Linked DNA regions of Arabidopsis thaliana. The protein of the gene in region 1 interacts with the protein of each later gene in a pairwise test. Each region holds a gene or a part of one and is shown on either strand. Other genes may lie near its edges.

The links.
Region 2: the proteins of GATA16 (region 1) and AT3G52250 interact in a two-hybrid assay, tested with the Arabidopsis thaliana proteins (one large-scale study listed by BioGRID).
Region 3: the proteins of GATA16 (region 1) and AT1G36060 interact in a two-hybrid assay, tested with the Arabidopsis thaliana proteins (one large-scale study listed by BioGRID).

The regions. Positions count from the first base shown.
Region 1 is NC_003076.8:19,980,205-19,989,708, forward strand, and holds GATA16 (GATA transcription factor 16), read right to left. Parts: upstream 5,585-9,504; 5' UTR 5,272-5,584; coding exon 5,251-5,271; intron 5,157-5,250; coding exon 5,007-5,156; intron 4,894-5,006; coding exon 4,645-4,893; 3' UTR 4,422-4,644; downstream 1-4,421. Other genes in the region: RLP56 (receptor like protein 56), read left to right, coding at 1-327, 614-769, 913-987, 1,173-1,247, 1,360-1,434, 1,582-3,665; AT5G49305 (importin subunit alpha), read right to left, coding at 8,590-8,887, 8,976-9,103, 9,400-9,478. UniProt on the Arabidopsis thaliana protein: Transcriptional regulator that specifically binds 5'-GATA-3' or 5'-GAT-3' motifs within gene promoters.
Region 2 is NC_003074.8:19,371,815-19,385,425, forward strand, and holds AT3G52250 (Duplicated homeodomain-like superfamily protein), read left to right. Parts: upstream 1-4,323; 5' UTR 4,324-4,572; exon of another isoform or gene 4,573-4,668; 5' UTR 4,669-4,814; coding exon 4,815-4,992; intron 4,993-5,703; coding exon 5,704-6,840; intron 6,841-7,067; coding exon 7,068-8,138; intron 8,139-8,701; coding exon 8,702-11,286; 3' UTR 11,287-11,555; downstream 11,556-13,611. Other genes in the region: AT3G52230 (uncharacterized protein), read left to right, coding at 431-583; AT3G52240 (transcriptional regulator ATRX), read right to left, coding at 1,088-2,326, 2,696-3,005, 3,236-3,407, 3,503-3,668, 3,745-3,868, 3,954-3,985; AT3G52260 (Pseudouridine synthase family protein), read right to left, coding at 11,638-11,694, 11,800-11,896, 12,102-12,237, 12,642-12,711, 12,836-12,903, 13,020-13,095, 13,219-13,303, 13,410-13,494.
Region 3 is NC_003070.9:13,450,538-13,460,843, reverse strand, and holds AT1G36060 (Integrase-type DNA-binding superfamily protein), read left to right. Parts: upstream 1-4,507; 5' UTR 4,508-5,181; coding exon 5,182-6,126; 3' UTR 6,127-6,348; downstream 6,349-10,306. Other genes in the region: AT1G36050 (Endoplasmic reticulum vesicle transporter protein), read right to left, coding at 7,161-7,483, 7,803-7,880, 7,967-8,033, 8,116-8,208, 8,294-8,347, 8,440-8,491, 8,568-8,635, 8,722-8,901 and 6 more.

The DNA.
Region 1 (9,504 bases):
TGGGACATCTACATGGTTTCAGCAGCTGTATTGAGAAAGAAAGGAAAGCTTTGTTGGAGCTCAAGAAATTCGTCATGTCAAGGTGCGAAGAATGCGAGTATGACTCTGTTCTCCCTACTTGGACTAATGACACAAAGAGCGATTGCTGTCAGTGGGAGAATATTAAGTGCAATCGTACAAGCAGGCGTCTTACGGGACTTTCCCTTTACACATCGTACTACTTAGAGATTTCTCTTCTAAACCTTTCTTTGCTGCATCCTTTTGAAGAGGTTCGAAGTCTGGACTTATCAAACTCCAGATTAAACGGATTGGTTGATGACGTGGAAGGTATAACATCATGCTTTTCCCAATGTCTCTTTCTTACCTATTATGGTCTCCATTTGGAAACATTTTTCCCTGCAATAAAAAAGGTTTGAATTATAGATTCGTGTAAGTTGATACCGTTTAGAACTATGCCATGAAGAACAAAATTACTGAATTCTGAAGTGTCTGTACAGTTTTAAATTCTCATAATTCTATATTGACATGTAGATTAGACTCAGACTGTAATGGAACTTATCATAGTTATTAGAGTTTTCGTATACTTTGTTAACAAGAATTTATTTTCTTGCAGGTTATAAAAGCCTAAGGAGATTAAGAAACCTGCAGATTCTGAATTTCTCTTCAAATGAATTCAACAACAGCATCTTTCCCTTTCTTAATGCTGCTACATCACTTACAACTCTTTCTCTTCGGCGTAACAATATGTATGGCCCTATTCCCCTTAAAGGTATGTTTCTCCTTCTAGTACACCTACTTATTGCTGATGTATCATTGGTTAGATTGTTTGATTTTTATGTAGTATATATACGCTACAATTTGCTGTCTCTTTATTTTCTTATCAGTCTACTATTCTCTTGGACTCCCTTTCAGAACTTAAAAACTTGACAAACTTGGAACTGCTGGATCTAAGTGGAAACAGAATTGATGGTTCCATGCCTGTAAGAGGTATCATTTACGTCACTGGTGACTGTCCATATAAAATATGTCTGTTTCTTTTCTAGAGTAGAACTTTAACACATTTAACCCTCTACATAGTTATTGAAATTATTTATGCCATCTTTAAGAACATCATATCCATATTAATTGTAGTAGGTGCCTAATTTGCTTTTGGTTTCTTTGTTTTGTGGCAGAGTTTCCTTACTTAAAGAAGCTGAAAGCTTTAGATCTAAGTTCTAATGGAATTTATAGCTCAATGGAATGGCAAGGCAAGTTTGCTCAAGTTTAACGTTATTTTTTATTTTACTAAGAATGGATGTGAATCCCTTTTCCCAAGATCATTTTTCAAGGTATATCCTTTATGTCTTTACGTTATTTCAGGATTAAAGAATTTGACTAACTTGGAAGTCCTGAGTCTTGGTTATAATTATTTCGACGGGCCTATACCAATAGAAGGTGATCTGTCTTTGCTTCACCTCCAAGATTATCAATATGGGCATCATAACTTTTACTCTGAAAAGTGTCTCATGAATTCTCGAGAGGAATACAACTACTCTTATTATTCTCATCATCTTGTTGTTCTCCAAACTTTCTTTTTCGCAGTGTTTTGTGAAATGAAGAATTTGCAGGAGCTTGATCTGAGAGGAATTAATTTTGTAGGTCAGCTTCCTCTTTGTTTTGGTAACTTGAACAAGCTACGGTTTCTTGACCTCTCATCAAACCAATTAACTGGAAATATACCACCCAGTTTCAGTAGCCTCGAGTCCCTCGAATATCTATCATTGTCAGATAATAGCTTTGAAGGCTTTTTCTCGCTCAATCCACTTACCAACCTCACAAAGCTCAAGGTGTTCATATTTTCATCAAAAGATGATATGGTACAAGTAAAGATTGAAAGTACTTGGCAGCCATTATTTCAACTAAGTGTTCTTGTACTACGACTTTGCAGCTTGGAGAAAATCCCTAACTTTCTCATGTACCAGAAGAACTTGCATGTCGTTGATCTATCTGGCAATAGAATATCTGGAATCATTCCTACATGGCTTTTGGAGAATAATCCAGAACTTGAAGTCCTACAGTTGAAGAATAACTCATTCACCATCTTTCAGATGCCTACATCAGTGCATAATTTGCAGGTTTTGGATTTTTCAGAAAATAATATTGGTGGACTGTTCCCTGATAATTTTGGTCGTGTGCTTCCGAATCTGGTACATATGAATGGCTCCAATAATGGGTTCCAAGGGAATTTCCCATCCTCCATGGGTGAAATGTATAATATTTCATTCCTGGACCTGTCTTATAACAATTTATCAGGGGAGTTACCTCAAAGTTTTGTCTCAAGTTGTTTTTCATTAAGCATCCTGCAGCTGTCTCACAACAAATTTAGCGGCCATTTTCTTCCAAGACAAACAAACTTCACTTCATTGATCGTGCTGAGAATCAATAACAACTTATTTACTGGGAAGATCGGAGTTGGTTTGCTTACCTTGGTTGATTTGTGTATACTTGACATGTCCAACAATTTCTTAGAAGGTGAGCTACCACCTTTGCTTCTGGTATTTGAATATCTTAATTTTCTGGACCTCTCTGGAAATCTATTATCTGGAGCCTTACCATCACATGTTAGTTTGGATAATGTTTTGTTCCTACACAACAACAACTTCACAGGGCCAATTCCGGACACATTTTTGGGAAGCATCCAGATACTTGATCTACGGAACAATAAACTCTCTGGGAATATACCGCAGTTTGTAGATACCCAAGACATCAGTTTTCTTTTGTTGAGGGGGAACAGTTTAACGGGATATATTCCAAGTACGCTTTGTGAATTCAGCAAGATGAGACTTTTAGATCTTTCTGATAACAAGCTCAATGGCTTCATACCTTCATGTTTCAATAATTTATCATTTGGACTGGCGAGAAAAGAGGAGATTACTAACTACTATGTTGCAGTTGCATTGGAGAGCTTTTACTTGGGATTCTACAAATCCACATTTGTGGTTGAGAATTTCAGGTTAGACTACAGTAACTATTTTGAAATTGATGTAAAATTCGCAACCAAGCAAAGGTATGATTCTTATATAGGAGCATTTCAGTTCAGCGAAGGAACACTTAATTCTATGTATGGCTTGGATCTGTCAAGCAATGAATTAAGTGGTGTTATCCCAGCAGAGCTTGGAGATCTCTTCAAACTAAGAGCCCTGAATTTGTCTCACAATTTCTTGTCGAGTCATATACCGGATAGCTTCTCTAAATTGCAGGACATTGAGAGCCTTGATCTTTCTTATAACATGTTACAAGGAAGCATTCCTCACCAGTTAACCAACCTCACTTCTCTTGCTATCTTCAACGTCTCTTACAACAATTTATCAGGCATCATTCCCCAAGGAAAGCAATTTAACACCTTCGACGAGAACAGCTACTTAGGAAATCCTCTTCTCTGTGGACCGCCAACCGATACAAGCTGTGAAACTAAGAAGAACTCAGAGGAAAATGCCAATGGAGGAGAAGAAGATGACAAAGAAGTTGCTATTGACATGTTGGTCTTCTATTGGAGTACTGCTGGAACTTATGTGACTGCATTGATAGGTATTCTTGTACTTATGTGTGTTGATTGTTCTTGGCGTCGAGCATGGCTCCGCCTTGTCGATGCTTTCATTGCCTCTGCGAAAAGTAAGTTGGCTTAAAACCATTTCAGCACAGTTCTTACGTCTTCCTTATCAAGCAAAACAGGCTTCAATCCTCTGTCTTTTTTTGTAAGTATATATGTGCTTTGGATTTTACTTGCTGTGACAGAGGAATGTAAGTTGATGCAGGTTCTCTGTTTCAAAAGATTCGTCTATGTATGGTTAATGATCAAATCATTGATAATAAGGTTAAAAAATCTGGTTTAGTTAGTTAAGTGATATTGGTATAAATGGCAATTGGACTTGATTTAAAGGAAAAAAGATAAACATTTTTCATGCGGGCAGAGACCAAGATCTGTGTTACCTAACTAAAGGACATGTATTATTAATGACTATGGTTTTAATGTTGACATAATTATAATGCTAGTCTCATTGTGTACAAAAATGATTATTCCCTACTTCTAGAATTGTTTGATGCCCACGGAACTAATGAATTTTTTTTAAAAAAACTCCACTGTTAAATTACCAAATACGATTGAAGAGTCAATCAATCCTTAAAATGGCAGCAGAATTAAAGTAGAACATTACAATCTGATGTTGAAAAAGAAAACTAAAAAATAACAATTTGACGAAATTTAAACCATTTTTCAATTTAAAGTTAAGTTATATAATTATTTTTTTGACTTGACAAAGATTGTGCTTAACAGATAGGCAAGTCACATTCCTGTCGCAATAAAGACAAAATCTCAGCACAGAACAATTATTTAAAAATTAAATAAAAAACTAGTAATAACCACCGATTTTTTTTTTTTTTTTCATTCATCTTCTTACAATTTCCAAAACGTTTTTGATTACCACCAAATCTCACATCATCGAGATACCCAAAATTCATAGGTGTAAAAAAAGAGTAGAAAATGATTGAAAGAACACAAAAACCAAACAATTACCAAAAAGTACACATTTAGTTTGTTGTTGTTGTTAGTCATCATCATTGCTCTCCAAACCCTAATCATGGTAAGATCCAGAAGAAAAAAAAGCACTAAGCGTAAACAGAGCCATAAGAAAGAGCCATGAGTAACACAGCGGCTTGTTCTTCTTCACCAAGCTTCTGTCGTTGCTTCTCCACCGTTGATCTCTTCCTTATCCCCAAATCCATCAAACTCTGTTTTAACGATTCACCAAATTTACGGTTTCCGCCGCCAGAACTCGATTTCTTTAATTTCTTATTATCTTCTGTTCCTCCTCTTCTCTTCTTTCTGTTTCTGATCCCACACGCGTTACACAACGACTACACAGAACCAAAACCAAAACATATCAGAATCAGAGATCAGAGACAAGATCAAATGATCAACCTCGATTTTTTCCCCAAAATCAGAGTGAAATTAGGGTTTATGTATGAACCTTTGGACCAACAGGACCACCACGCCAAAGAGGAGTTTTACTGGTTCCACAATCAGCACAAGTCTTCTTCTTGTCGTTAACACTAGTGTTGTTCTGTTCGATCATATCTTCAGCTCTTGTTTTCATGGTTTCTGAATCAACCAATAAGACCTGAAACAAACACAGAAGAGCGATCAGCTTATTATTAGATCATCGTCGTCAGAATCAAAAAATAGAGATCAGAAGAGAAGCAAATCATTTTTACCTTTTCACTGTGATCTAGCATTCTGTTAGATCGTCAATTGAAATGGACTTTTGAGGATGTGGTTGAAGTTTGGCGCCGCGATCGGGAAAACAGAGATCAAGGAAAGGATCAGAATCAATCTGGTTACTAGGGTTTAGAGAAGATCACGTTTCTTCGCAAATTCACATGCAGAGGACTTGGAAAGAGTGAAGAAGAGTGTCAGCGAGGAAGAGAGGGTTTTCAAAGGGTCGAACCGACAGAGACAATGATCCAAAGAAAAACCAAACGCGATTATAAATTGGTTCAGAATTAAACCCTAGGATTTGGTCTTTAAATGACGAAACTGCCCTTTTATTCGTCCCCATTATCAGAAGAAGCCACCCGCCAAAATATGGAATTTTTGAGGAAAATGTGTATTTTCGCTTATTGTCTGATTTGGTGAAAAGAAAAAGGGCGCCACTTTGACCATTGTTTGATCAGATACGGTAAAGAGTAAGGTTTCTTCGAATGGTCAATGATGATGATTCACATGTATTTGATCGTAGCCGTTCGTTAACGATCTCTACAAATTTAACGGTTCTTTTCTTCCGTGTGGATTTAAGGATTTTTTTTTTTTTTTTTTTTTTGGAGTGTACAGCACTAGACAATCATATAAATCTCACAGATAAAAAATGTCATAATTCAATTCTTTTTGTGTAGATCAGATTGCAAAGTAAGCAAAATCACAAATTTTTTTTATGTTGGGTGTATGTAAATTTTAAATATAGATGCATTTTGGTTATATCCTAAGTAGAAGATCCACTGGGAAACCAAAATTAGTGAAATTTTAGATACTAAAGATAGATGGATTATAAAGAGGAAGAAACAAACAAAGAGAGTGGTAGGGGTTAAGCCATGTAGACTACTACTAGATAGAATTCAGACCATATATTATTGGTTTATTCTGCATAGTTCCAAAATAAGAGAGTGTGCTTGTGTGTAATGTTGACTCAACAATTTCCTGGTCAAAGTGACAATACTCGAAATAAGTTTTAATATTAAAGGCATATCTTTTAATGTAGAAAAACATAAGATTTTGCTCTCTTTTTTTGGACAGCGTAAATTTATTTTGTAATTGATTGAGTAGAAAGAAAGGGACTTCTTGGTCTCCCATGGAACCACATTGAGTTTGACCCTTCATAGCAAGCTTTTGGTTACATGTCGGAGGCTTTTTTTTACTTTATAGTCTCTATTCTCTAATATCAGATTGTGTAGTTTTGAGTTTACTTTTCAACTGAAGTTGAATCCCTCCAACAGGAACTGCAACTTAGTTCTCTCACAGCTGCAAAACCAGATCAAAGCCAGATCTCAACATCCTCTACACGCCAGTTTGTCTCCAGAATCTTCAAAGCCTTCTTGTAGATCTCCACGCTTTCGTGTTCTTGCAGGTTCTCAATCTTTTTGACTCCTTTCGCATCTTCAATCAGTTGGCGATAACAGTTGACGTCTCCTGTGTTATTTGCCGCCTCTCCGGCTTTTAAAATGTTTTCCAACCCATCAAGACACACTGAGATGATCATTACATCTGGACATACCAAGAGATCACATAGAAGTTTTGTGCAACCCTGCTCCACCAAGTATCTGAACCACACCAGTATATGGAGATTGTGATTTAGTGATCAATAAAAAGCTATATCAAATAGAGAGAAGACAGGGATGTACTTGATTTGATTAGGAGAACTACCCACGGTGGCATTTCAAAATGCCCATGCAGCTTCTTTCTTTACGTCAAATTAAGCATGTTGAGCCAGATTGACCAACGGTGGAATCAAATTTGCATCAATAACCGACTGTTATCATCGGTACAAGAAAGACAACTAGAAAACAATTAGTGATAGCAACATAAGGGTAAATTTGTATATGTTCTGCAACAAAAGCTTCTCACCTGAAGTTGTTCTGTAAAGCCTGCAGTGATGCTTGAAATTGTTGAGAAAATTTCTATCTTTATGTATTTCTCATAGTCTCGAGTAAACAGGTTGGCAAGAATGGGTAAAACACCACAATTGATCACAATCTAAAGAATATGTTCAAAGAGGTTTATTCAGAGCACTTCGTTGTTTGGTTACAAAATCTAATCGCAACATTGTAAACAAGGAACATATAACAAAGCAAGCACTCCATCCTCTCTACTAAAAGCGGTATAGTGATATAAACATTATGATAAACATAGATTTTGACAGTTTTTTTAACTTGATAAAGGATAACTCCACAAGGTGGCAACGTAGGTGGAATATGATTACATACTTGGCTCTGGTGATTATATTGTCTAGCTATAGTCCCAATGTTATGAAGTACAGGAGCAAGCACATCTGGGGAAGGGCGTCTGCAAAAGAAGAAAATTGTCAGTCTTCAGTATCTAAACCAAACTTGCACAAAGGGTTAAATATGTGTATATATTATGAGAAGTACTAACTGGAGAACTTCAACTAATTTTGGGTCAAAACCAGCTTCAATCACACTTTGGATAACAGCTTCTGAACCATCACACAGATAGGAAATTGCCAAGCAAACATATCTCAAGACTTCTTCAAGTATGTTTGCAGAATCTTCAAAGCCTTCTTGTCTACTTCATAGCTTCCGTGTTGTTGCAGGTTCTGAATCTTTTCTATCCCTTTGATCAGAGAACTTTACACGAGTGGCCAGTCTCCATTTCTCAAAACATCCAAGAAAGAAAGATTGTAAGTTACAGAAAGAAGCACGTTTCTCAAAACATCCAAGAAAGAAGCATGTTGCTCTTTTTGAACCTAAACGGTAGCCATTTCTTTCAATGAAACACAACTGCATGATTAGGACAAATTCCTCAGATAACTAGCAAGAAGCTGGACCGGAGACAAGATCTTAATCTTTAATACATGTGATTAAGACTCACGATTGGTCCTAATCTCTTGATTAACATTTACGTTCAGGTACATAGCCTATTGCTAGCTGCCGATTCCTTAAGTGTATGCAGCTGAGTTTTTTGAATACAAGACATATATTACAACTTACTACGTCTAATGATCAAGACATTTCTAAAACCTAGTCACAAATATGCCAAATCTCGAGATCAAACTTCATCTATATGAGAGTGAATAAACAAACATATACCCAAATGTCCTAGAGAGATTATATTATCAACTTGGAAAGATGAATAGTAATCAAAAGTTTCATCCATGTCAAGAATACCGATGCCCCTACTGTGTAATCCATCACTTGTGCTAGCTTTAGGTTGAATACATGTGAAGGTGGCAAAAAAATCCTACTCTAAGTCTCAAAACTTCACAAAACAAAACTGTAGTTGAATCCTCCAACAGGAACTGGAACTGAAAGACAAGATCATCATCACCTTGGAGGCTTTTGTGTCTTCTCATCATCCTCTACATCCCAGTATGTCTCCAGAATATTCAAAGCCTTATCGTAGATCTCATTCCTTTCGTGTTTTAGCAGGTTCTTAATCTTTTTCACCCCTTCCGCGGCATCAATCAGTTGGCGATAATAGTTCACGTCTCCTCTGTTCTTTTCCGACTCTCCGGCCTTCAAAATGTTTTTCAACCCATACAGACACAGTTTGATGATCATTATATCTGGACATACCAGGAGATCACATAGAAGTTTTGTGCAACCCTGCTGCACCAAGTATCTGAATCACACCAATATATGGAGATTGTTACTTGATGATCAATCAAAACGCATGAAAAAAGTGATAAAGAGAGAAGACAGGGATGTACTTGATTTGATTAGGCGAACCACCTACGGTGGCCCTTAAAATTACCCGTACAGCTTCTCTCTTTATGTCCAATTCAGCATTTAGAGCCAGATTGACCGACGATGGAATCAAATTTGCATCAATAAGCAACTGTTATCATCATTGCAAGAAATACAAATAGAAAACAATAAGTGATACCACAATTGATTACAGCCTAAAGAATATGTTCAAAAAGGTTTATTCAGAGTCTACGTACTTTGTTGTTTGGTTACAAAATCTAATCATAACATTGTAAACAAGGGACATATAACAAAGTAAGCACTGCATCCCTTCTACTAAACATTCTATAGACATTGTGATAAACATAAGCTTTCGACAGATTTATCGTTTTTGATAAACGATTACTCCACAAGATGGACAACATAAGTGGAACATGAATTACATACTTGGCTCTGGTGATTATTTCCAGTAACTAGAGTCCCAATGGTACGAAGTTCAGGAGCAGATAAAACTGGGGAAGGGCGTCTGAAAAAAGAAAAAACTGTCAGCCT
Region 2 (13,611 bases), on another chromosome or scaffold:
TTTTTCTCTATCAATAGGCAAATAGTTTTCGATGTTTTCAATGTATTTCATTGGTTGCAGTCAGTTGCAGTGTGCTACAATGAATGTTGAAAATGGTTTCAGTTTTTGTTATGCCTTCGATTCCTGGTAATGCTTTAGATGACCTCTAACAATTAGCTTGATGTTCTGTCGTTCATGGAGTAGGAAGCATACTATTTTTGCTCCTTTCAATTGCAAGTTTTGTAGTAGTCAGAGCTATCAAAGGCTGACTTGATATATGAATAGCATGACTCGAGAATCGAGATGTTTTGGTTGTGGTGTGCTTTATTTTCTCATCAATGGACTCCTGACGTATACGAAAGAGTTTTGTTCTGATGATTGTTTCAAATCCTGGAAAAAGTTGGATTCTTTCATGGTTAATTTAGTGGAGTATTCTCTATAACTATTTCAGGTATATGCACTTGGAGGGTTTCTTGTCCTGAAGTGGGCCTGGGCAAGATGGAATGAAAGGAACGAGAGAAGTGACAAAAAGGAGGCGACGGGTGATGATGATCAGAAAGATGATGATGAGGATGATCAATCATCTGATGGGCATGAAGACTAGTCATATTACTTGAACACGATGAAAATGTTACCCACTTTGGTTCTGTATAGCAAAAACACCATAAACTTCAAAATGAAGATTTCTTATTTTCCATTGTATGTACTTGAATCTTGAGTCTCATCTCCTTATCTAAGGGGACTCGAAATCTCTTCTCATGCTGGCAAGAAGTTTTTTTTTTCTTACTGGACAAATCTCTTGTTGTTGCTGTGCAGTGTCTCTTTAGTTCGTGACTTGTAGTTAGATCATTGCTAGTTAAGTTTCAAGAGATTTGTCATGTTAAATATCATAAACCGAACAAATGAACACACAAACATTATCAACAAATGGGATTTCAACAAACGGTCCTATAATGACCAAGTTATGAATCACATACATAACTTTTGCCTCTTCTATACAGTATTTTGACGTTACACAAAGCTGATATTAGTCTACAGTGTATATAACAACCACCACACTCTACAAAGATCCAACAATCATATCACGGCTTCACAAGGATCAACAGAATCATTCTCGCCTAAATAAGCCATCATCTGAACCACTAGTAGGAGACAGCCCAAACGGGCGTGTGTAATAAGGAGTCGAATACAATTCTCTACTGCTTAGAACTGAATCAGGATACAAGCTTCGAGTAGGTGTCACAGGGGTATTATATGTACTTGACGATACTTGGTTACCTTCAAAACCAGATGTTCCACCAGAGATTGCACTGCCTGAAACTCTTGGTATGCCTTTATTAAGTCTGAATCCTGGAACATCAACCATCGGTGGACCATCTGCCCTGAAGCTGGACCATAGTTTTGGTCCACCGATGTATGGGGTGGTCGAAAGTCGGTCATCCACTGACAAAGGAGGACTGGTTTCTAGTTGGCTTTGGAAGCCAGTATTTAGGAGATTGTTTGTGGCTGTTCTGCTGAAAAGCTGATCTCCAGGTACTAGGGGGACGTCTCGCTCAGGCATATGGGTAACCATGGCGTTCTGAGAACTCGAAGCTAGAAAAGTGTTCCTATTTGAAGCATCAGATGTAAAATCGGTGGGGACACGGAAAAGTCCAGCAGCACAGATAACTGGAAACTCTACCATGGACCCGACACTGGAAGCAGGGAGAGATGGTTTAGTACTAAATGCTGGTTCCATCGGTAGTGCATATGTGTTCATATATGAACCTGGTGTTGAAGGATATGAGCTTTCAGAATGACAATCCGGGTTTCTGATATGTAGGCTATTGACTTTCTCTTGCAGAGACAGCTTCGCTTGCTTTAGTGCGGTCAGTACAGTTTCACAAGTATCAGGCTTCACATCTTTCACTGAAACTAATGGATCATCTACTTCATGAATGGTAGTGGTAGTACTGCCAAAGAAACCACCTCTCGAGTTTGGTTGCGTTACAGGAGGCGACCGAATAGTTGATGAAGAATGCTCATTGATACCTTTACTGCTCTGTGGTTGGGAATACTCACTTGTAGGGCTCTCAGAAATATGTTTTCCTTTGTCTCGAGAAGAATAAGCATCTTGTTCCACAGATCTGGAACCACAACTATTGCAGCACTTATCAGGTGACGTTACTGAATTATCAGGTGAACCATGCGACAAAGTTTCAAACGATTCTCTAAAGTCAACTTCATTAGCTATAGACCTTGTATCACGGAGTGAAGGGACTACTGTAGAACCTTGAAGTGGAGATTGAGCTTTTTCTCCGTTACTTTCATCCGTCACATCTGAATGGTTTCCAACGTCACATAAATCCTGAAAGATTGGACAAGAAGTATTGTTCAGGAATTCCAGTGAATTAAGCGGAGACTAAGTTCAACCTTTGTGAACTAAGATATCTTCATAGATAATGTCTTCAGAAACAATATGGTTATATAACAGTTAATACAAAGAAGAAAAAAAGCATACATTTTTCATAACTTTTTAGCACAATGGAGAGAAGACAGAATAAAAGAATCAATGTATACGCATGCAAACCAAATATAGAAAACTGCAGCATATGCACAATTATCAACGCCACATAAAAGAAACTTTGTTGGTTGATTCATATAAACACGAAATATACCATAATCACAATTGATGAAAACAATTTCTAAAGGTCAAAGCCTGAGATATAGGGCATACCAGGGCAGATGATTTATTCTCTCTGAAATTTTTCTCCCATTCCCTTTGAGTCTCTTCCATTTCTTCAAAAGATCCGATAACTTGAGCACGGTTTTCTAACGCTCTCTCCAAGTTGATGTCCGTACTGTTTCCCTTCTCTAAACCATTTGAATTTGACAACTTGTTCAAACTATCGTCTCCCTTCACAACAGCAACATCCACCACGGTTCTAGATACTTGATCATTCTTTTGAGGAAGCATTTCAGTGCGAACTCCATTTTCTTGAAATTCAACCGGATTTCCATCTCTCTTGTAATCCTCAGATACATTTCTGGAAAGTTGAAAAATGTTGGTTATTCTATTACACAACATACATAAGCAAGCTTTACAATTGCTTTACTAATAAAGCGATTTATGATGTATATAATTAGAGAGACGATTTCTAAGCATATAACCTTCAATCTCAAATTTCTAAGCACTGTGTTTCTAGGCAATGCTTGCACAATTTGTAATAGTAAACCACTCATAAATCACTGAGCAGCTAAAGATAACAAAACAGACCTTGCTTCACCACGTCTAATTTGCCGACAAGATCTTCCTTGACGATGTCTCGGTGAGGAAAAATAAGCACACTCGAAACCTCTGTGATGTCTCCTATTCCGGTTTTCCTTGATCTTGTCAGAAGAACCTGGTTCCCTCCTGCGACCTTTCCAGGACAAACTTTTGCCTAACACTAAAAAACAAACAAATCTCCGACACTGAGAGTTGCTCAAATCTCATTAAACCCATGAATCAGAAACTTTCCTCCTATCACATAAAAACTCTAACCTGAGTTACTCTGAGAGTAGCATTCATGATCAGAGTTTGAATCATAATCATCAGACACATCATTATACCCATTTTCCTCTAAGATCGCAAGAACATCAGCAGTTGCCTGTTCAGCCTTCTTCCTCTGTAAAGATACAATCTTGAGCTGTTCCTCTAACTCAGCTACCTAAAGATATTAAGACAGGACATAAGACTAAAGAACATTTCACTGGATCATCCCTACAAATTATAAAAGAACATACTTTATCAGCGAGACCATCAAGCTTTGCTCTAGCACTCTTGGAAACAGCTCTTTCAGCTAATAAACGTGCACGAAGAAACTCAATAGTCACTGAAGTAGGATCTTGTGCCTCTGAATCAATACACCTATAAAAATGTACCAAAACCCAAATCTAAATTTCGATTCGCAAAACGATCTTATTCATCTGGAAAAAAAAAGACAGAACTATACCGATGATGATCTAACTTGTCTTGATTCGCCATCGTGTAGACGAACCAAAAGATCTACGAACTTCGAAGATCGGTGTGAAGAAGAAGACGTCTCTCTCTTTGCTTACACAAGTCAATGAAGATAGTTTTTTTTTTAATCTTTCACTAATGTATTTTACTCTCTTCTCATTGGTTGTAAGTATTTACTAATTTCGATTTTATACTTTTTTGTGTAGTAGACAAAGTCATGGATTTGGATTGAGATTTACAGAAAAAAAAAAGTAAAAAAAAAAAATGTCTTTTTCAGAATAGGAGTAAAATAATATAAATAGAGCGGACGCGAAAAATAAAATGAAATAGAGTTTAATTGGAATCTTTAGGTTACAGGGATTATTTTCTCTTTCCTTCTTCTTCTTCATTGTTCTCTCTCTCTCTATCTCTTCTTCTTCTTCTTCTTCTTCTTCTTCTTTGGATTTTGTGAGCTAATAAACAGAGAGGAATCGCCATAAAAAAACCTACTTTGTCTTTCAACACCGAAATTAAAGGAAATCTCTTTTTCTCTATTGAGCTTTTTTCTTCAGCGGTGAAATCTCCCTTCCTTGTCTCTCAGTAGTGATTTTTACATACAGCTCCGCTCTCAGGTTTCTTCCTCTTTTGATTCTGTTTCCGCTCTTTTTGGGTTTACTTCGGATTTTAATCTTCAGATTGACGAAACCCTAGTTTGATTTTGGTTTCAGAAACGACGAGTCTTCATTGATTTGGTTTCCCCACCAGCTCTTCTTCTTCTTTTTTTGTTCCGAGACCTTTTTGACGGAGGTAGGTACGGAGGGAATCTGGAGTTGGGTTTGAAGGATACTCTTATGCGATTCTTCTGGATAACTTGATGCCGCAGGATCACGCTTCGTGGGATCGGAAAGAGCTCTTGAGGCAAAGGAAACACGATAGGCCTGAACAATCTTTTGAATCCCCGCCTTTTCGATGGAGGGATTCGCCTTCTTCTCACCATGTTCCTCGAGAGTTTTCTTCTCGTTTGGGATCTGGAGACTTCCGCAGACCTTCTTGTAAGACCTCCTTTTCTCTCTCTAATTTAGGGCTTTGAATTCTCCTGCTCTGTTTTTGGTAGAGTCTATTTTTCTGTGGATTTGTTAGATATCCACTTTTCCTTTTTGGTTCTATAATTTTTTTTGAATTGATTTAGAGGCAAATCCTTGTTTCTTAGATTGAGTTCTCACTGTGTCATGATAGCTTAGGGTATTTTTGGAGCATTAACACAGCTCTTAAGATTGATAGGAAGTGAATTGATGAGGTTACTCTTCAAAGGAGCAATTTTTAATACTCAGGTAGATTTAGTTTCATTGCAAGAGGACTTTATTACCTCAATTGTGTTTGTGTTTTGTGTTCATGAATCTTAAAACGGATAAAAAGTCCTAGCATCGTGGAGTGTTGTTAGTTTTAGTTTTACATGTTGTAGATTTAGATGAAGATAGCTCCTACTTTTGCAGGTTTCTTACTTGTATAATTTTTCCTATTAGTATTGAAACCCTGTGTGGGCGTAATGACACTTTTTTCTCCTAACTTGACTTCGTGTTATAATGATTCTAAGTTTGACTTCCTTTTGGAGAATCTTATACTACATGTTTTGACAGCAGTAAAAGTCTAATTTTTTTGGATAGATGTCGTTTTTAGTTTCACAAGTTATATATTTGGTTGAATACAGGTCTTGCTTTAGTTTGTGATTCTCATCTTCCTTTTGTCTTCAAAATTTTCTGAAGGTCATGGTAAGCAGGGTGGACGGCACCAGTTTGTGGAGGAGACTAGTCATGGATACACATCTTCTCGGTCCAGTGCCCGAATGTTTGATAATTATAGGCCATCAGCATCGCGTGGAGACTGGAGATATACCAGGAATTGCAGGGATGATAGAGTTTCTGTAAGCCAAAAGGAATGGAAATGCAATACATGGGAGATGAGCAACGGATCTTCTAGAAGTTTTGAGAGGCCATTTGGTATTAGAAATGGTCGGAGGTCAGTTGATGAAAGGCCGCTACATGCTTCAGATACTCATTCTACCGTGGTGAACTCTTTGGATCCAGCCAACTCGGCTCATTATCTGGACAATGAGATCAGTACCCCAGTACGGTCTCTTAAAATTAAAAATGAGCATAAATTTTCAGATCAAAGGTTATCACTTCCTTCAGATCCTCATTCTGAATGTATTAGCTTGTTTGAACGGCCTTCTTCTGAGAACAATTATGGCAATAAGGTTTGTTCACCAGCAAAGCAATGCAATGATTTGATGTATGGTCGAAGGTTAGTTAGTGATAATTCATTAGATGCTCCAATCCCCAATGCAGAGCTGGAGGGGACTTGGGAACAACTTCGCCTGAAAGACCCGCAAGATAACAATAGTTTACATGGTATCAATGATATAGACGGTGATAGGAAATGTGCAAAGGAGAGTTCTCTGGGAGCAACTGGGAAACTTCCACTGTGGAATAGTTCTGGGAGTTTTGCATCTCAGAGTTCAGGTTTTAGTCATTCAAGTAGCTTGAAAAGCTTGGGGGCTGTTGATTCCAGCGATCGGAAGATTGAGGTTCTTCCTAAAATTGTTACTGTGACTCAATCTTCTTCAGGAGACGCTACTGCCTGTGCCACAACTACTCATCTTTCTGAGGAGATGAGTTCTAGAAAGAAACAACGTCTCGGGTGGGGTGAGGGACTGGCGAAATATGAGAAAAAGAAAGTTGATGTTAACCCAAATGAAGATGGAACAACATTGATGGAAAACGGTTTAGAGGAACTACATTCGTTAAACAAAAATATTGCTGATAAAAGTCCCACAGCAGCCATTGTTCCAGATTATGGTTCCCCTACAACACCATCCTCTGTAGCTTGCAGTTCATCACCAGGTACAATACAATTTGTTAATACTTCTCTCTGCGTGCTCTTCTCATTCCTGATCTATTTGGAGTTATCTGCATTATTTTCATATTACTTGAATTCTTCCATCATGTATCTGTTCTTGTAAACACTGATTTTGTTTTTCTCTTTTTATCATGTCTTCCATTTGTTTTTGTTATCTTCTGCTGGGGACAGTGTAACTCACTCGTAATTTTATTCTTTTGTGTACATTCAGGGTTTGCTGATAAATCATCTCCGAAGGCTGCTATAGCTGCTAGTGATGTCAGTAACATGTGCCGTTCGCCTAGTCCCGTGTCTAGTATTCACCTTGAACGATTCCCAATCAATATCGAGGAGCTCGATAACATCTCAATGGAGCGTTTTGGCTGTTTACTCAATGAGTTACTTGGTACTGATGATTCTGGTACAGGGGATTCCAGTTCTGTCCAATTGACATCAATGAACACATTACTTGCCTGGAAAGGTGAAATTTTGAAAGCTGTGGAGATGACTGAATCAGAAATTGATCTCCTTGAAAACAAACATAGGACACTAAAGCTTGAAGGTAGAAGACACTCTCGTGTTGTTGGACCCAGTTCATACTGTTGTGATGGAGATGCAAATGTGCCCAAGGAGCAGGCTTCTTGTAGTTTGGATCCTAAGGCAACAGCTTCTTCTGTAGCTAAAACACTGGTGAGAGCTCCTGTGCATCAGGCTGGTTTAGCCAAGGTTCCTGCTGATGTTTTTGAAGATAGTCCTGGGGAAGTTAAACCTCTATCCCAATCTTTTGCCACTGTTGAAAGAGAGGAAGATATACTGCCCATACCATCTATGAAGGCAGCTGTTTCTTCGAAAGAGATTAACACACCTGCTTTTGCCAATCAGGAAACTATTGAGGTTTCTTCTGCTGATGACAGCATGGCCTCCAAAGAAGACTTGTTCTGGGCTAAGTTATTATCTGCCAATAAGAAATATGCTTGTGAATCATCTGGAGTATTCAATCAATTGCTTCCAAGAGATTTTAATTCGTCTGACAACTCAAGATTCCCTGGCATATGTCAAACGCAGTTTGATTCTCATGTCCAAGAAAAAATTGCAGATAGGGTAGGCCTATTGAGAGCTAGGGAGAAAATTTTACTCCTTCAGTTTAAAGCGTTTCAGCTCTCATGGAAGAAAGATTTGGATCAGCTAGCTTTAGCAAAGTACCAATCAAAGTCTAGCAAAAAAACAGAACTATATCCGAATGCAAAAAATGGAGGGTATCTGAAGCTTCCCCAATCTGTACGCCTGAGGTTCTCTTCTTCAGGTAAAGTTCTCAAACCTCTTTTCTCTTCTATTTACTCTGATATATTAAGCTTGTCGTGGTTTGTCGCTGTCTGGGATGAAGTTTGGCTTTTATGATGTGTTAGTTGTAGAGACTTGAATTATGTGATTTTTCAAGGGCGTGAGGTGTTGAGAGAAACATATACAACTCTTGAGAACTATTGTTACAGAGCTGTACATAGTGGTCATAATTCATTATTTGCAAGCTAAGTTCAGAGTCATTCCATGCTAACGTGTTTGTTGGATGTTGATAACGCTATTTTAATTTTATGTTAGATGTTGGTTTTATTCTAGTATTATATCCACTGTAATATTCATTTTAACATCTAGCTTGTTTAACGAGGAGGTATAGTTTAAGCAGATGCTTATTTCTTGTCTATCTTTTATGTTGTCGTAGGTAAATATTTGTCTTAGATGCTAACTAGAAAGTATATCAATACGCAGGAGATGATTGCGGTGTAAAAATTTGGGATAATGATCACAGATGAATTGAAGCCTTTTTTCATCGAATTTAAAGTTAATAACTGTTTTACACTACCTGTGCAGCTCCAAGAAGGGATAGTGTAGTCCCCACAACAGAGCTCGTAAGTTATATGGAAAAGCTACTTCCGGGTACCCATCTAAAGCCTTTTAGAGACATTTTGAAAATGCCTGCTATGATTTTGGATGAGAAAGAGAGGGTGATGTCGAGGTTTATTTCTAGCAATGGACTGATTGAAGATCCATGTGACGTTGAGAAGGAAAGAACAATGATTAATCCTTGGACCTCAGAGGAGAAAGAAATCTTTCTGAATTTGCTAGCAATGCATGGGAAGGATTTCAAGAAGATTGCTTCATCTCTTACCCAAAAGACAACTGCGGACTGTATTGATTACTACTACAAAAACCACAAGTCTGATTGTTTTGGGAAAATAAAGAAGCAGCGTGCTTATGGTAAGGAAGGGAAGCACACCTACATGTTGGCTCCACGAAAAAAGTGGAAACGTGAGATGGGGGCTGCCTCTCTTGATATTTTAGGGGATGTCTCCATTATAGCAGCAAACGCTGGAAAGGTTGCATCAACCAGGCCGATCTCTTCCAAAAAGATCACCCTTAGAGGTTGCAGCAGTGCTAATTCATTGCAGCACGATGGAAATAACTCTGAAGGGTGCTCCTACAGTTTTGATTTCCCACGTAAGAGAACTGCTGGTGCAGATGTTTTAGCTGTTGGTCCTTTGTCACCAGAGCAGATAAATTCTTGCTTAAGGACTTCTGTGAGCTCTAGAGAGAGGTGTATGGATCATCTGAAGTTTAATCATGTCGTAAAGAAACCTCGGATATCTCATACTCTACATAATGAGAACAGCAATACTCTACACAATGAGAACAGCAACGAAGAAGATGACTCATGTTCGGAAGAGAGCTGTGGGGAAACAGGTCCTATTCACTGGACAGATGATGAGAGATCTGCCTTTATACAGGGTTTTTCGCTTTTTGGCAAGAATTTTGCTTCAATATCAAGGTACGTCGGGACAAGATCTCCAGATCAGTGTAAGGTTTTCTTCAGCAAAGTTCGGAAATGTCTTGGGTTGGAATCTATAAAGTTTGGATCTGGAAATGTAAGCACATCCGTAAGTGTTGATAATGGCAATGAGGGTGGTGGGAGCGACTTGGAAGATCCTTGTCCTATGGAGAGTAACTCTGGCATAGTGAATAATGGAGTTTGTGCCAAGATGGGTATGAATTCTCCTACCTCACCTTTTAATATGAATCAGGATGGTGTTAATCAATCAGGCTCTGCAAATGTGAAAGCCGACCTTAGTAGATCAGAAGAAGAGAATGGGCAGAAATATTTGTGTCTGAAAGATGATAATAATCTCGTGAACAATGCATATGTCAATGGCGGTTTCCCGAGTCTAGTTTCAGAATCTTGTAGAGATTTGGTAGATATTAATACTGTTGAGAGCCAGTCTCAGGCTGCCGGAAAAAGCAAGAGCAATGATCTCATGTCAATGGAAATCGATGAAGGTGTCTTAACATCTGTCACTATATCTTCCGAGCCATTGTATTGTGGCCTAAGTGTTCTTTCCAATGTTATTGTGGAAACCCCTACAGAAATCTCACGAAAGGGCTCAGGAGATCAAGGTGCTACAATGCCTAAATTTAGTTCAAAGAATCAAGATGGAGTGATGCAAGCTGCAAACAGAACCAGAAATTCTGGCCTTGAACCTGAAAGTGCACCTTCAGGTTTCAGGTACCCTGAGTGTCTTCACCATGTTCCGATTGAGGTGTGTACGGAAAACCCTATAGGCGTCAGTGCACCACGAGGAAATCCAAATTGCCATGCAGAGTCCGAGTCAGGAAATTCTCTTGTTGGACAAGTTGACGAAACACATGACTTGGGTTGGCCCAAGAACAATCTGGAATTGGATGGGAGGCTTCAGGTTTTAGGCCATGTAAACCCTGAGCAGATTGGTCTACTAAAAGCGACCAATACAGAATCTTGTCAAAATCCCCAGAGATCAGTCACCCAAGATCTGAGCAGGATAAGTAGATCAAAATCTGATTTGATCGTAAAAACCCAACGTACAGGTGAAGGCTTCTCACTCACCAAGTGTACTAGTTCAGCTCCTAAGCCTCTGGCAGTATCCCATAAAGAGGGCAGATCTGGTCATAGCAGGAGCCATTCGTTTAGTTTGTCTGATACTGAGAGACTCCACAAGAATGGAGATGTGAAACTGTTTGGTACAGTACTTACTACTGATGAGAATGGAATAAAACAAAAACACAATCCATGTGGAATTGTCAGGTCATCATCAACCTTGAGCAGGGACCATGATACAAGACATCATTACATTAATCAGCAACACCTTCAGAACGTTCCCATTACGAGCTACGGTTTTTGGGATGGCAACAGAATTCAAACCGGGCTCACATCTTTGCCAGAGTCGGCCAAGTTGCTTGCAAGTTGCCCTGAAGCATTTTCCACGCATCTAAAGCAGCAAGTTGGTAACAGCAAAGAGATTCTGGTGGATGTTAATGGTGGAATTTTGAGCTTTGGTAAGCATAACGAAGATAGAGCTGAGTCCTCAAGCGCTAAGGATGAAGGTAACATAGGAGGGGTAAATGGTGTAGCAGAGGCAGCCACGTGAATGAAAAAGCTTCTTAGGGTCATGATTAGTTTGTTTTGGAGGATTGGCATATTCTTTGCTTGTCAACCTATCTGTATTATATCTCTTTTAACATCTTTTTTTTTTAATTTAGAATGTCAATTAATATAGGCATTTTTTTTTTTTTTGGTTCAGCTAAAGTTAGGTGCCTGCAGAAAATTCATAGCTGATGTTTGTATTTGTAATGTTACTGATAATAACAGAGAGATCTAAGAGCTAAGCTTAGCTCTCTGTATGTTTTTCAAAAAGGATAACACTTGATGAACAAGCATGTCTAATGTTGTACAGTGAAAGACTTATGCAACTTCACTTGCAGGAGGATAAACCTTTTTCTTACGTCTCACATCTTGTTTGGAGAATTGGTGGCAGCGGTGCTACAATTTTTACTACCTGCAGAATGGTAAGGACATGAACAATTGGATTGTTTAGATAAGGACTGAGAGATCTCGTAAAGAGCCTGACCACTGAGGCTTAGGTATGATCTACGTGAGTTACCTTATGAGTGTTCAGCAGGTTTGGTAGCTCTACTTGATGAGCATGCAGATGATATCCACAATCCCCAGGAACAGCCTGATTTGGCCTTCTGTAACCTCTGCAATATATTCAGTCATAATGACGACACATGCCATAACAGGTGATAGCATCTAGTTAACAGACCAATTTACTCCACATGAAACTACGTACTAGATTGCATCGTACAACATTGGTTAGCTCAAATATTGTTCAATTTCCAAGGACTGTTCATCTCAAGGTATACAGAAACTATAAGTATGAAGAATGATGATCTAATTTTGTACCCATCTTCGGCAAAGGCTGCGGCATCATCTACAAGATCGGGATCAAAGCACTTTGGTTGGCCGCCCGCTACATAAAGAGGGTCCCCTGCACTTTGATCAGCACGTAAGCACTCAGATCCAGTAAACATCGTCATCTCTATCATAGACCACTGCCAAAAGAAAACTTATGTGTAGCAAAAAGCTTCCTAGACTATGCCATAAGCAACTCATGTCCTAGATTGCAACTATATTGTATATGGCTCATACAATTATAACTAGTTGAATCATCAAGTGGGAGTAAGATCTTTTCATCCATCAAAACATGGTTTCATCAATTTGTATTCAATGTTTTACTAAAGTTTTCCTAACACCGCCGAGCAGTTTGGTTGTTCCATTATTGCTTAGTTATCTGGGAAAAAAACATTTGTCTATCTTGTCTTACAAAGCTACGTATCCAACTTTTTTTATTCTATACTAATAATGAAGGACTATAAATGCACAAACCACGCATAATACCAGCTCAAAACGTGTGACAGACCCGAAGGAAACAGAAGTTTTTACCTACCAAGGGATGTCCCATGTATGCAAGATGAATCCGGATTTGATGTGGTCTTCCAGATTGTATCTCTACCTGTTTTGCATAAAAACAAGATGATTGTGGCTAACTTTCGTTTTGGTTTTACTATCTCATTTACTTTCTGGGTAAACCTTGTGTGACATATGACATTTGGAAATAAGATGGAACAGAAGAAAACCTTAACAAGCGAGCAATTTTTTTCCCTGTCCCTCTCCAGAACAAATACTTTACTGAAAGCAGGTTTCCCTGACAAGAGCAAAAAACATGCAAAAACAAACAAAAAACGTTATAACGACAACAAATTATATTTAGTGTGAATTAATCTGTTGCTCTAGCTAATGGTATAAGATAATATAACTAACCTTCCGGAGAAGCAACATATAATCCTTGTGCGACCCCAGGATATCGAACCACTCCTATAGGCTGTTTGATTACTACCTTCAGAATGTAAATAAAAAAAGGAGCATTGTTCATAGATGTTATCTCAGTTGCATATTAAGGTATACTGTACTTATAGTATTTGATATTAATTCTCAGCACAAATAATAAAAATGGCCTTGCCTCGTCTTCTTCAACTATACCATCTGCTAGTGCTCGATATATCTTTGATAGTTTTCTTCCTGTTCCACACTCTTGATCCAGGTTGCTGTAAGAATGAAGAGTTTAAATCCAAAATCCAATATGTAATACTAAGGATCTTTTCAAGAATGAGCTGGGTCAAAAAGTAAACAAGAGATCATGTTTGAACTCACCCGGAGCCGACAAGAGATGTTCCCTCAGCAAAATACGCTGCAAGTTTCGTTTTTGCCAGCTTGGTCTTTGCACAGAGAAGTATACCTGAAATAAATGTTGAAAACAACATATCTTAACAGTAGAGAGAGATCATTATAGAGATGCTTTTGCGATACGAACTGATAAGTCCAGTGAAGAGTACAACATTTATAAAGCAGTGGA
Region 3 (10,306 bases), on another chromosome or scaffold:
ATTACTTGTTTTTTCACAAAATGATTAAACAAACATTTGTTAAACCACATAAGGAGCCACATGGTCAGTGAAAAAAAAAGTTCTTAAAGTTCATTACTGATGGATAAAAGTTGTATAACACATTTGACTTATAATTAAATACAAAAACGCGTTTTTGTTCTTCACCAATTTACCACCAAACCCGGGGAAAAAAAGTAAAGAGGATAACTTATACTAATATAATAATATTAGTCACTAATTGCGTTTAGTAATGAATAGGCGCCACTTATGATCGTATCTCCATCACTTGAGAAACACTTAATACTGTAATAAGTCCCTGGTTATATCATACTACAATAATAGCAAACTTGATATTGGTGTTGGCCTGTTGGGGTCTCCCGTCCAACACGGTCCAAGAATCATGTCCAATTAACACTAATTCTCCTTTCACCCCAACTTTTCCAACTAATCTTATCAACATTTTTAATTTCTTCCTGCTACTTATATTCAAGAAAATAATACCAAACTACAAATGCACTTTAAAGATGTGAGCAGAGTTGAAATATGAGTAGTGTTTCAAGAAGATCTTAAATTTCCCATTTTTTCTTTTGAACAACTAAGAGGTTCTGCCATGAGACCGTACATCTTCCCAAGTCGAATACTGTACCAGGCAATTTTATACAGTTTTCTCCCAAATACCACCTGAATCACCAATGATCTCTAGACTTTGTCTGAGATACTTTACGGGTTGAGTTAATGGCACTTGATAAGAGATTCGATATTATAAAGGCAAAGAATGAAGATAAATTCGAGCAAGAGTTTAAGAAAAGCAACTCATTAATTTTTTTAATTCTTATTAGAAAAGTTTCCTTAATTCTATGTAGCAATTTAACAAATGACTTTCTACTCTAAGAATCAGGTCAACGACTCTTTTTCGAAGACAATAATGATTTTTTGTTTTTATTGTTTTTGAGTTAATATACGCATACTTATAATATCATGAGAATATTCTTAACTTTTTAATATTGAACATGTATTTAAAGAAGAAAACTGACACAAAAATATTAATAAACAATCATATTTATATTTCCTTTTTATGAAGGAATTTTCATCCCTTCACTTTTTTTTTCTTTTTCATACCTATCACATTTTGATCATTATACCATTCCGTTTGCATGTTGGAATTTTAAAATGTTGCTATTGACCACTTTTTGTTTATTGTATTTTTATGGGTTACAGCGGTATATCTTTTACCATAATAGTTAGAGATTACAACCCACAATCCAGGATATCTTCTATGAAAGGTGTAGTAGTGTCATAATAATAGTTAGGGATAGCTTATAGGGGTAAGAAATAAAAATATTAATGGCCTGATTGGTATAAACACAATTTGGCTACGATTGTGGGAGTTTGCAGAAGTGTGTGGCTGCAGTTTCAAATGTTAATAAGCATTTTGAATGACTAGTTAATTTAGCGGTTTAAATTAATAAAAAATTATGACTAGTTAACTACCGGATACAATAACTATTAAATCAAAAATGATTAATAAATATAATATTTATGCATTTAACAGTTGTACATCCGTTGTTATACTTGATAATAAAAACTTATATTATGATGATAAAATATAATTAATAATAAAATTATATATATATCATAATTAGAGTCGTGTCAAGCTTCTTTGAAAATGTGAGCCCGTACCTAATTTTTAAAAAAATTATTTAGAAACATTTTTACATTGGAAAAAAATATAAATAGAAAAATATGAAAATCTATTATAGTGTTCTAAAGAATTAGAGATTTACAATTTTAGTTTGTTTAGTAAAAGAAAACTAATGGTTTACTGGATCATAAATAAAATACAGAATTGTTTATTTAAATACAAATAGTCTAATTTTCAAAATTTGATAAAGAATACAGAAATATAAATAATATACATTATATAAATGATATAAAAAATAATAATATAGAAAAAACTGAACATTTATAAAAGAAACGATGTTATTTCTTAAACGTAAGGAAAAAACATATTATGACCAAATATTGGGAATTAATCATTATGAACTCAAACTTAAAACGAGACACTCAAATATACAAAGTTTTGACCAATTGAACTACCTATATATCTGAAATTGGAGCCTTAATATTCAATAGAAAATTTGGGGTTTGAGGCATCCGCCTCTTTTTTATAAGCACAGCTCTATTTGTAAATTTCATAGAAATATGACAAACTAATTCATAAATCTTCCAAATTGACAATATTATTACAATACTACTTTTATTTATTATCTTTCTTCAGTTGGGATTGATACACTGATATTAGTAGGAAAAAGTATTTAAAATTTTGAGAATGAACATTAATATATATATGATTTGATAATATTTATTTATTTGTTGTTTAAATGACTTTTTTTTGTTCTTTTTCTTTTTTGCTAACTGTCTATAATCGCAAATGTTTACAAAAAAGAACTTTTAAAATTCATCGATTTGAATGGTTTAGAATGGTCCGAAACTTTTGAAATGTCTATTATTGATTTTAAAAGTTAGCACCGCAACCGTCCGTAAATATAAGATTTGTGAATTGTACTATTATTGATGTTTTAGGTTAAAAATGGTGTGTAAGCAAAAGAAAAGAGAGATTAATTGGGACAAAAAATCACACGCGTGAGTCTTAATTTCGAGGCGACGCCAACGTAAAGTCCAATTTCCCACTTGCAGCAAATTGCGCCTGAGATCACGTGATGCTTTCGTTCTCACGTGGCTCTTCTATCTTGCAACTTAATTATCACTTAAATCACTTATTGAAGAAGGTATTATTTCATCATTAAATTAAATTATCACTTAATTATATCACTGTTATTGTTCCAACGGTATTTGTTGACGGTTGGAGGTTTCGAGCATTATTAAGATGCTAAAATTGTCAAATTTAGTTTCAACAAAATTACTGAATTGAAAAGAGAAAACACTATTTTAGAAAACGTTTTTTTGTTAATGAAGTGTGTTAGTGGTAATTTTATGAAGCCACTCTTTCATTTTACTCATAACATCATCCATTTAAGTTCGGAGAAAATTCAAATGCAAAACATTTAGAAGTATATATTTCAAACATTTTTATTATAACAATAATTTTTCTTAACATTTCAAATATATTTATATTTTTGCGTAGAAATTTGAAAATATCACTTAATAAAACAAAATAATTTCTCTAAAACATCTTAAAGTGAAACGGAAGGAGTATAATAAAAATTGAATATACTTGCATAACAATTGGTCTTAAATGTTTTTCGATAAATCTATTTGTATAAGCATAGTAACTTAATGGTATAGTAGAAGTACTAATCGATCTCAGAAGGATGTTAACACTTTTTTTCTCAACTAATTTTCAACGACTGTTGCAAAAAGAAGGAAAAAACGTAAACACCGCAAAAATGGCAAAAAATGCGAATTGTGGCACTAAGGACATGTGACCTGGTTTCTTTGGCTAAGAACAAATGCACCTTTAACTTCTGCTCTGCATGGAATCTTCAGTCTCCACGTACGAGTCCAAGTGTCGTGCGAATGTTAATATTCAAACTCTACAATAATTATCATCAAACAATATAACCAATTCAAGTATTGATTTGTTTCCAAAATAACCGTTGTACTTATGCTTACGCAAGTCCGCAAGTTCATATTTGATATGCTTCTGTCTAGAACAGCTCTGCCCACAGTACTCCGTAGTTCGTCCGTACTCGCTACCAAGAAGAACAAATTCAACCGTATAAATGTTTATGTGGGTTTTGACCCAAAACACTTTGTCATAATCCTTGCTCAAAAAATCGTTAGGCGCTAGTCGAACGATGAGGATAGGTCTATCACCTAACAAAAAAATCAGAGATTATACGAAAATTAATCGGAAATTAAGTTTAGGGTTATTTAATATTTTTAAAACATATTCCTCCATTACAATTAAGAGAATTATATAACATTGTTTTTAGAATTGTATTAAACACATGAAAACAAGATTTTAAGTTCAAATTTATGATTTTTTCATACAAATTAGAACATAAGTTTGATGTTTTAAATTTGGATATTTAAAAAGTTGGATATTTTTAAATGTTTATCTTAAAAAATAAAAAAAAATGAAAAAAAAGTTTTGGACTAGGCATCCTCTAGACAGGTTTAAGCGGATCTATGATGAATAAATCAGATCAACGATTAATCTTTTCGATTTGGACAAAATTGCGGTAGACTCTATCCGATCAGCCGACTTTTTGAACAAGGGATTCATAACTATTCTTCGAAACATTTCACTAGTTACAACATTTATATTCAGTTTTTATTCAATTATTTTTTATACTTCTTTTTTTATATATATTTGGATCAAATATGTATCTTATATAGTGGGAGTCAAATACATTTTTTTAAAGTCAAATACGTTTTTTTAAAAGTCAAGTACATTATTTTAGGATTATTGATGTACAAACAATATTTTAATCTATCTTCATTGAACAAGCCCTCTATATAAACGGTGAGAGTTGGGTGGGTATTACCAAGGTGAGGTTGAGAGCATCTTCCAAAAGAGAGAGTGTTTGTGTGTGTGAGAGAGAGTGAGTGTGAGTGAGAGAAGAAAAAAAAAATTGAGAGATTAAAATTTGAGTGAAATTAGGGTTTATTCTCTTCTTGCTTTCTTTGCTTCGTTTCATCTTCAAACCAAAAGAAAAAAACTCTTCCATGTCCTGTCTATTCATCAGTCGTCTTTCTTGAGAAAACACAAATCACGATTTTCTTATGAAGTGTTGCTTTATGAGTTTATATTTTGCCAAAACTCATCTAAAACGACAAACTTTTGTTTAAAATTGTATTTGAAAAGTGTTTTCAAGAAAACGATATCCATCAAAAATATTATGATTTTTTCTGTCAATTAATATTCTTTCATTCTTTTATAGAGTTGATCAACTTCATGGGCATTTTTTAGTTCCCTCAAGTTTTGATCCTCTTATTTTATTTCTTTTTTTGTTGATAAATTTATTTTAGTTTTGATCTATGGAGGTTGCTTATTTCAAACCTCGTTGATCACTTTTATTTCTGTATAAACCAAAAAACCAGTCTTTGAATTTTTTCTAAAAAGACAGGTTTTATTTCTTCAACCATTTTTTAATTATAATTTTATATAATCTTGTTTTTTGTAGTACATTTTTTTTTGTATTTCAGGAAACTCCGATGGCGGATCTCTTCGGTGGTGGCCACGGCGGCGAGCTTATGGAAGCACTTCAACCTTTTTACAAAAGTGCTTCCACGTCTGCTTCAAATCCTGCGTTTGCGTCCTCAAACGATGCGTTTGCGTCTGCCCCAAACGACCTATTTTCTTCTTCTTCTTACTATAATCCTCATGCATCTTTATTCCCTTCACATTCCACAACCTCTTACCCGGATATTTATTCTGGATCCATGACCTATCCATCTTCATTCGGGTCGGATCTTCAACAACCCGAAAACTACCAATCTCAGTTCCATTACCAAAACACTATCACTTACACTCACCAAGACAACAACACTTGCATGCTTAACTTCATTGAGCCGAGCCAACCGGGTTTTATGACCCAACCGGGTCCGAGTTCGGGTTCGGTTTCAAAACCGGCTAAGCTCTATAGAGGAGTGAGGCAAAGACATTGGGGAAAATGGGTCGCGGAGATCCGTTTACCCAGGAACCGAACCCGACTTTGGCTCGGAACATTCGACACGGCTGAAGAAGCCGCGTTGGCTTATGATCGCGCCGCGTTTAAGCTTCGTGGTGACTCGGCTCGGCTTAACTTCCCAGCTCTCCGATACCAAACCGGCTCGTCTCCGTCTGATACCGGCGAATATGGTCCTATTCAAGCTGCCGTAGACGCTAAACTAGAAGCCATATTAGCTGAGCCGAAGAATCAGCCGGGCAAAACGGAGAGGACGTCGAGGAAACGAGCTAAAGCCGCGGCTTCTTCAGCTGAGCAGCCGTCAGCGCCACAACAACATTCCGGGTCGGGTGAAAGTGATGGGTCGGGTTCACCGACTTCGGATGTTATGGTGCAGGAGATGTGCCAAGAGCCAGAGATGCCATGGAATGAAAATTTCATGCTCGGCAAGTGTCCTTCTTATGAGATAGATTGGGCTTCAATTTTATCGTGAAAAATTAGGATTCAATTCATTTTTATTCATTTTAACTTGTTTGTATTTTCTTTTAAACTTTAGGGTTATTAGCTGTGCGTAAAATTTGTAATTTAGCATTTTGTATGAATGTAATGCAAGTGTGTAAATTATGGACAGCTCAAGCTTTTTTGTTCATGCCGTACCATGTAGACCCTTCTTCTTTTCTCTTAATTGAAATGAATATGGTTAGTATTACTACTATGAATATATTGTAACACATTAGAATCGTGAAGTTCCATTCTGCGACAGGACCATTGTGCTTAGCTTAGAAATGATTAAAAAGTAAATTAGTCTAAAAGGGAACAATATAGTGAAAACTTAAAATTTAAATTGCTAAATTTCTAGCTTAATATTATAAATTTTGGTCCTATTTTGAAGAAGTCAAAAGAGAAACACAAGAGTGGAAGAAAAGGATCCTTGATTGAACTTTACGTGGTATAAAGATAACCTCATACAAAGTGCCTACGTTGACGACATTCTCATGCTTTCTCTTTAGAATAGACCGAGTGATAGATAATAAGTAAAAAAAAAAGTAAAACAATTATCAAGTCTTTAAGTTAACACAAAAGATTAGATTTCTTTTTTTGTGTTTAACAATGGTAACCAAAGTGAGTTTTTTTTACGAGCAAACGTTGTCAAATGAGAAAGGAAGACTTGGATGATAAAAGTGTCCATGCAAATATAGAAACCAATTGCCAAGCCAAAGGAATGAGAGAATGCACATATATTAGGCTTGCACATTCGGGTACCGGTTTGGGTTCGACTCGAGTATTTGGATTTTGGTTTCGTACTAGGAATCGAGGTACTATTTGGGTATTTTAAAATTTTGTTCGGGATTGGTTTGGTAACCTTCGGGTTCATATCAGTTCGGATAGTTGATATGGGTGAATTGAAAATTATCGGATACAGTTCAAGTTGGTTACTTTATACTCAAATTTATCCAAACTACTCGAAAAGAAAAACCCGATGTTCCCAATCAAACCAGGCAATATAGGTTAAAGGAGATCATGAGTTTAGTTAGGCTTCAAATATATTCGAGTTCCCGTTAATTTATCAGGTATTATCCTTTTTGAACCAATACCGAAAATATATGAAGACAAGACCCAATCAAATGTTCTAGAGGATCCAAAACAGACCCAAACCGATATTTCGGATAGGTTCTGGTTCAGTTCTTCGAATCCGAGTATTAACCGAGACCTAACATATATTGCAATCGGAATTAATATATTCACTAATAACAACTTTCTCGTCAATACTAATAATGATTCTCTGTACTCTAAGCGTTTATTATGGAGACTGTTTTGCTTCTTTTTCTTCCATTCATTGAATCCATACACTACAATCAAAGATAGACTCAAGACTTAACTTCAGATTCAAAACCCATAATATCTTCAAAAGACAAAAAGTCAAAAGACGATAATTGTAACGCACGCATGAGGCTGTCAACAGCTGGATTGACACAACCCAAGACTTATCCTTCAATTTGCATTAAAAGAGTGTAACGTATCAATATGTATATTTTATATAGTCAGCTTAACAAAAAGAATTAAATAAATGACACCATATTACATTTGGAGCATGAATCGTATTATCCGCAAAACAAAAAGAGAGAGACGAAAACCCCAAAAAGGCTTAAAGGATTTAGCTAAATTTACCAATTTCCATCTTCTTCTTGATAGCTTTTTGACCATGGTATATAAACGCGTCTATTATCCCGGACACTGTGAAGACACCTGCGCATTTTTACATGTTTCATTTCGGATTTTAATGTGCGTTAACCAACAAGTGTTGTTATGGTATATAGAGATTAGAGAGATACCTCCAACTATGGCGCAAACATTCGTCAAGAAGTGCAAGAATGATATGTGTTCCTCCGTAAATGTTACCTACGGAAACGACACATTTTAGTTAGGATTATGACTATAAATACGCTCTAAAACTGCAGTTAAAACACACAAATACACTCACCTTGATTGGAGAGAGATCATAGAAGAAGAAAACTCCAGGTAAAGATTGCAGTTGACCTGCTTCTGAGCTCTTTACATGTTCGGTCACTGAGAACTGCCAATTTTACATTTAAGTTAAGATAGTACGCGGAAGAGAATGAATAGATAATGAGGTCGAACAGTTAAAAGCCTTGGTTCACCTGATTCGATTGAATTGTGTGTCCTCTGATATCTGTGTATACTGTTGGTACAACCTATTGAAAGCAGACAAAGCAGAATAGAGTCATCGCGGGTATTTTATAGACGAATTTGAAGTATATGATACAGTGTTTGTCTTGGAACAAACCTTGATAAAGTATTGGTACATAGCATTAGGTGTGTCTTGACTCCACTCGACTCTGCAATTTCAAGTACGTTAGAGAGTATGAAAAAATAAATAGTGTGTGAATGGAATAGACCAGAATGGTTATTTACTTGTCAAGAGGGTTAACGACGCCAGGAAAGTAGTCTCCATAAGTAAGTCTATTGATCTTGTGACTTATCTGCAGGGAGACGCAACATATTGAATTGATATAAGATTAGAAGCATAACGAATGAGTTGCAGTCAATAGGACAAGTCATTTCTTACGTTAAAACTGTCTTTCTGAAAAGCAAGAAGATCGTGAACATGCACGCCCGACTGATGAAAGCTTTTCCCAGGAGCAAAGTGGAAGTTCCCAGCCACCTTATTGACCTCCAAGAACCCATATATATTACACCCTTCACCTTCTTCATCCTTTACTCTTTGTAGAAAACCTTCTCGTTTACACTGAATCACAAACAGATAAGTGAAAAGTATTTCAGCTCGCAGTTGGAAGATGGAAACTCTTTGAAGCATAGTTCAGTTAAGAGCCTCCCAAGTGCATACTAACTAAACAAAACGCACACAAGCCTTGGAGACTCTAACAAAGAATAAGAAAAAGAAACAAGAAGAAAGAAATGAAACAAAACTTGCTACTATCGCATTGAAACAGTGATGCCAGGAATTTAAAAGGCGAAGAACCTTTTCTTAGCAATTTACCTGGTCAATCAAATCTGGATTAGTAACCCCCCAACCTTTCTTTCTATATGCTTCACGAACATCCTCACACGAATTGCAGCAGTCATGCTCTTCCTGCACGGGGAAAAAACATACTTCAGATGAAAGCTTATAAATAAATGAAAGCCAGATTGAAAAAGCACTATCAACTATCCTGAAAATGATAACTATATATAGTACAGAAACAATCCACTATGACATCTGTTTTTGTTTATTCCATTATGACCTCTTGACTAGCACTAAACAATCAAGAGTAATCTGAATATGAACTTGAGAAACCATGCTCCACAAAGTCAAATAGAGAGATAACACAATTACCGCTTCAGCCCCATAGCAAGAACCACAGTAAGTCTCATTATGTCCCAGCCTGCCACCATGTTTCTGCAGTGGGTTTTCAATCTACACAAGCACAAAAAAAAAAGTATAAGACTTTAAAGACCCCAAAAACAAACGACTTTTAATTCTTGACACTACTATTCCATTTGCCATTTGCCATTTGCCTGCAGTTTAATCCTAGCCTAATGACTACAAAACCCCAAAGAATAGAATGGCAGAGAGCAAACCTTAGTAGCGCCTATTCCGTCCTGTCTTGCCTCTATAGTGTTGCCATTAGAATCTAATCTTCTCTTTATGATATCATGTTTCTGTAACTCACACATTTAACAAACTTAATCAACGTCTCAAACACAAAAACTAAGATTCACTAAGCTATAACAGTAACCAATTTTACAAACATACCACGTCAAGATGAAGCTCTCCACTAATATCCATAGCATCAACACTAAGAATCGAACATGCTAGAGCAGGAAACGTAATATCAAACTGCATCATCAATGAAACTTATCAGACATCTCTAATCAAATATAAGCACAAACCAAGTCAAAATCACTATTAAGTAACATTACGTTGATGCGTAACGTCTCTCCCCTTGAAGTATCTACTATAAGCTTCGTCTCGGTGACTGTATGAAGATAAAGACCTAAACAACAGAATCAAAGAATTTCAAAATTACGAAACTGGATATGGAGATTCACAAAATTGGAAGCGAAGTTGTTAATACGTACGGAGCTCGGAGAAGAAGAGAAGGAACATAACAACGGAGGAGAGGAGAGTGATAACTCCGCCGGATAATGTA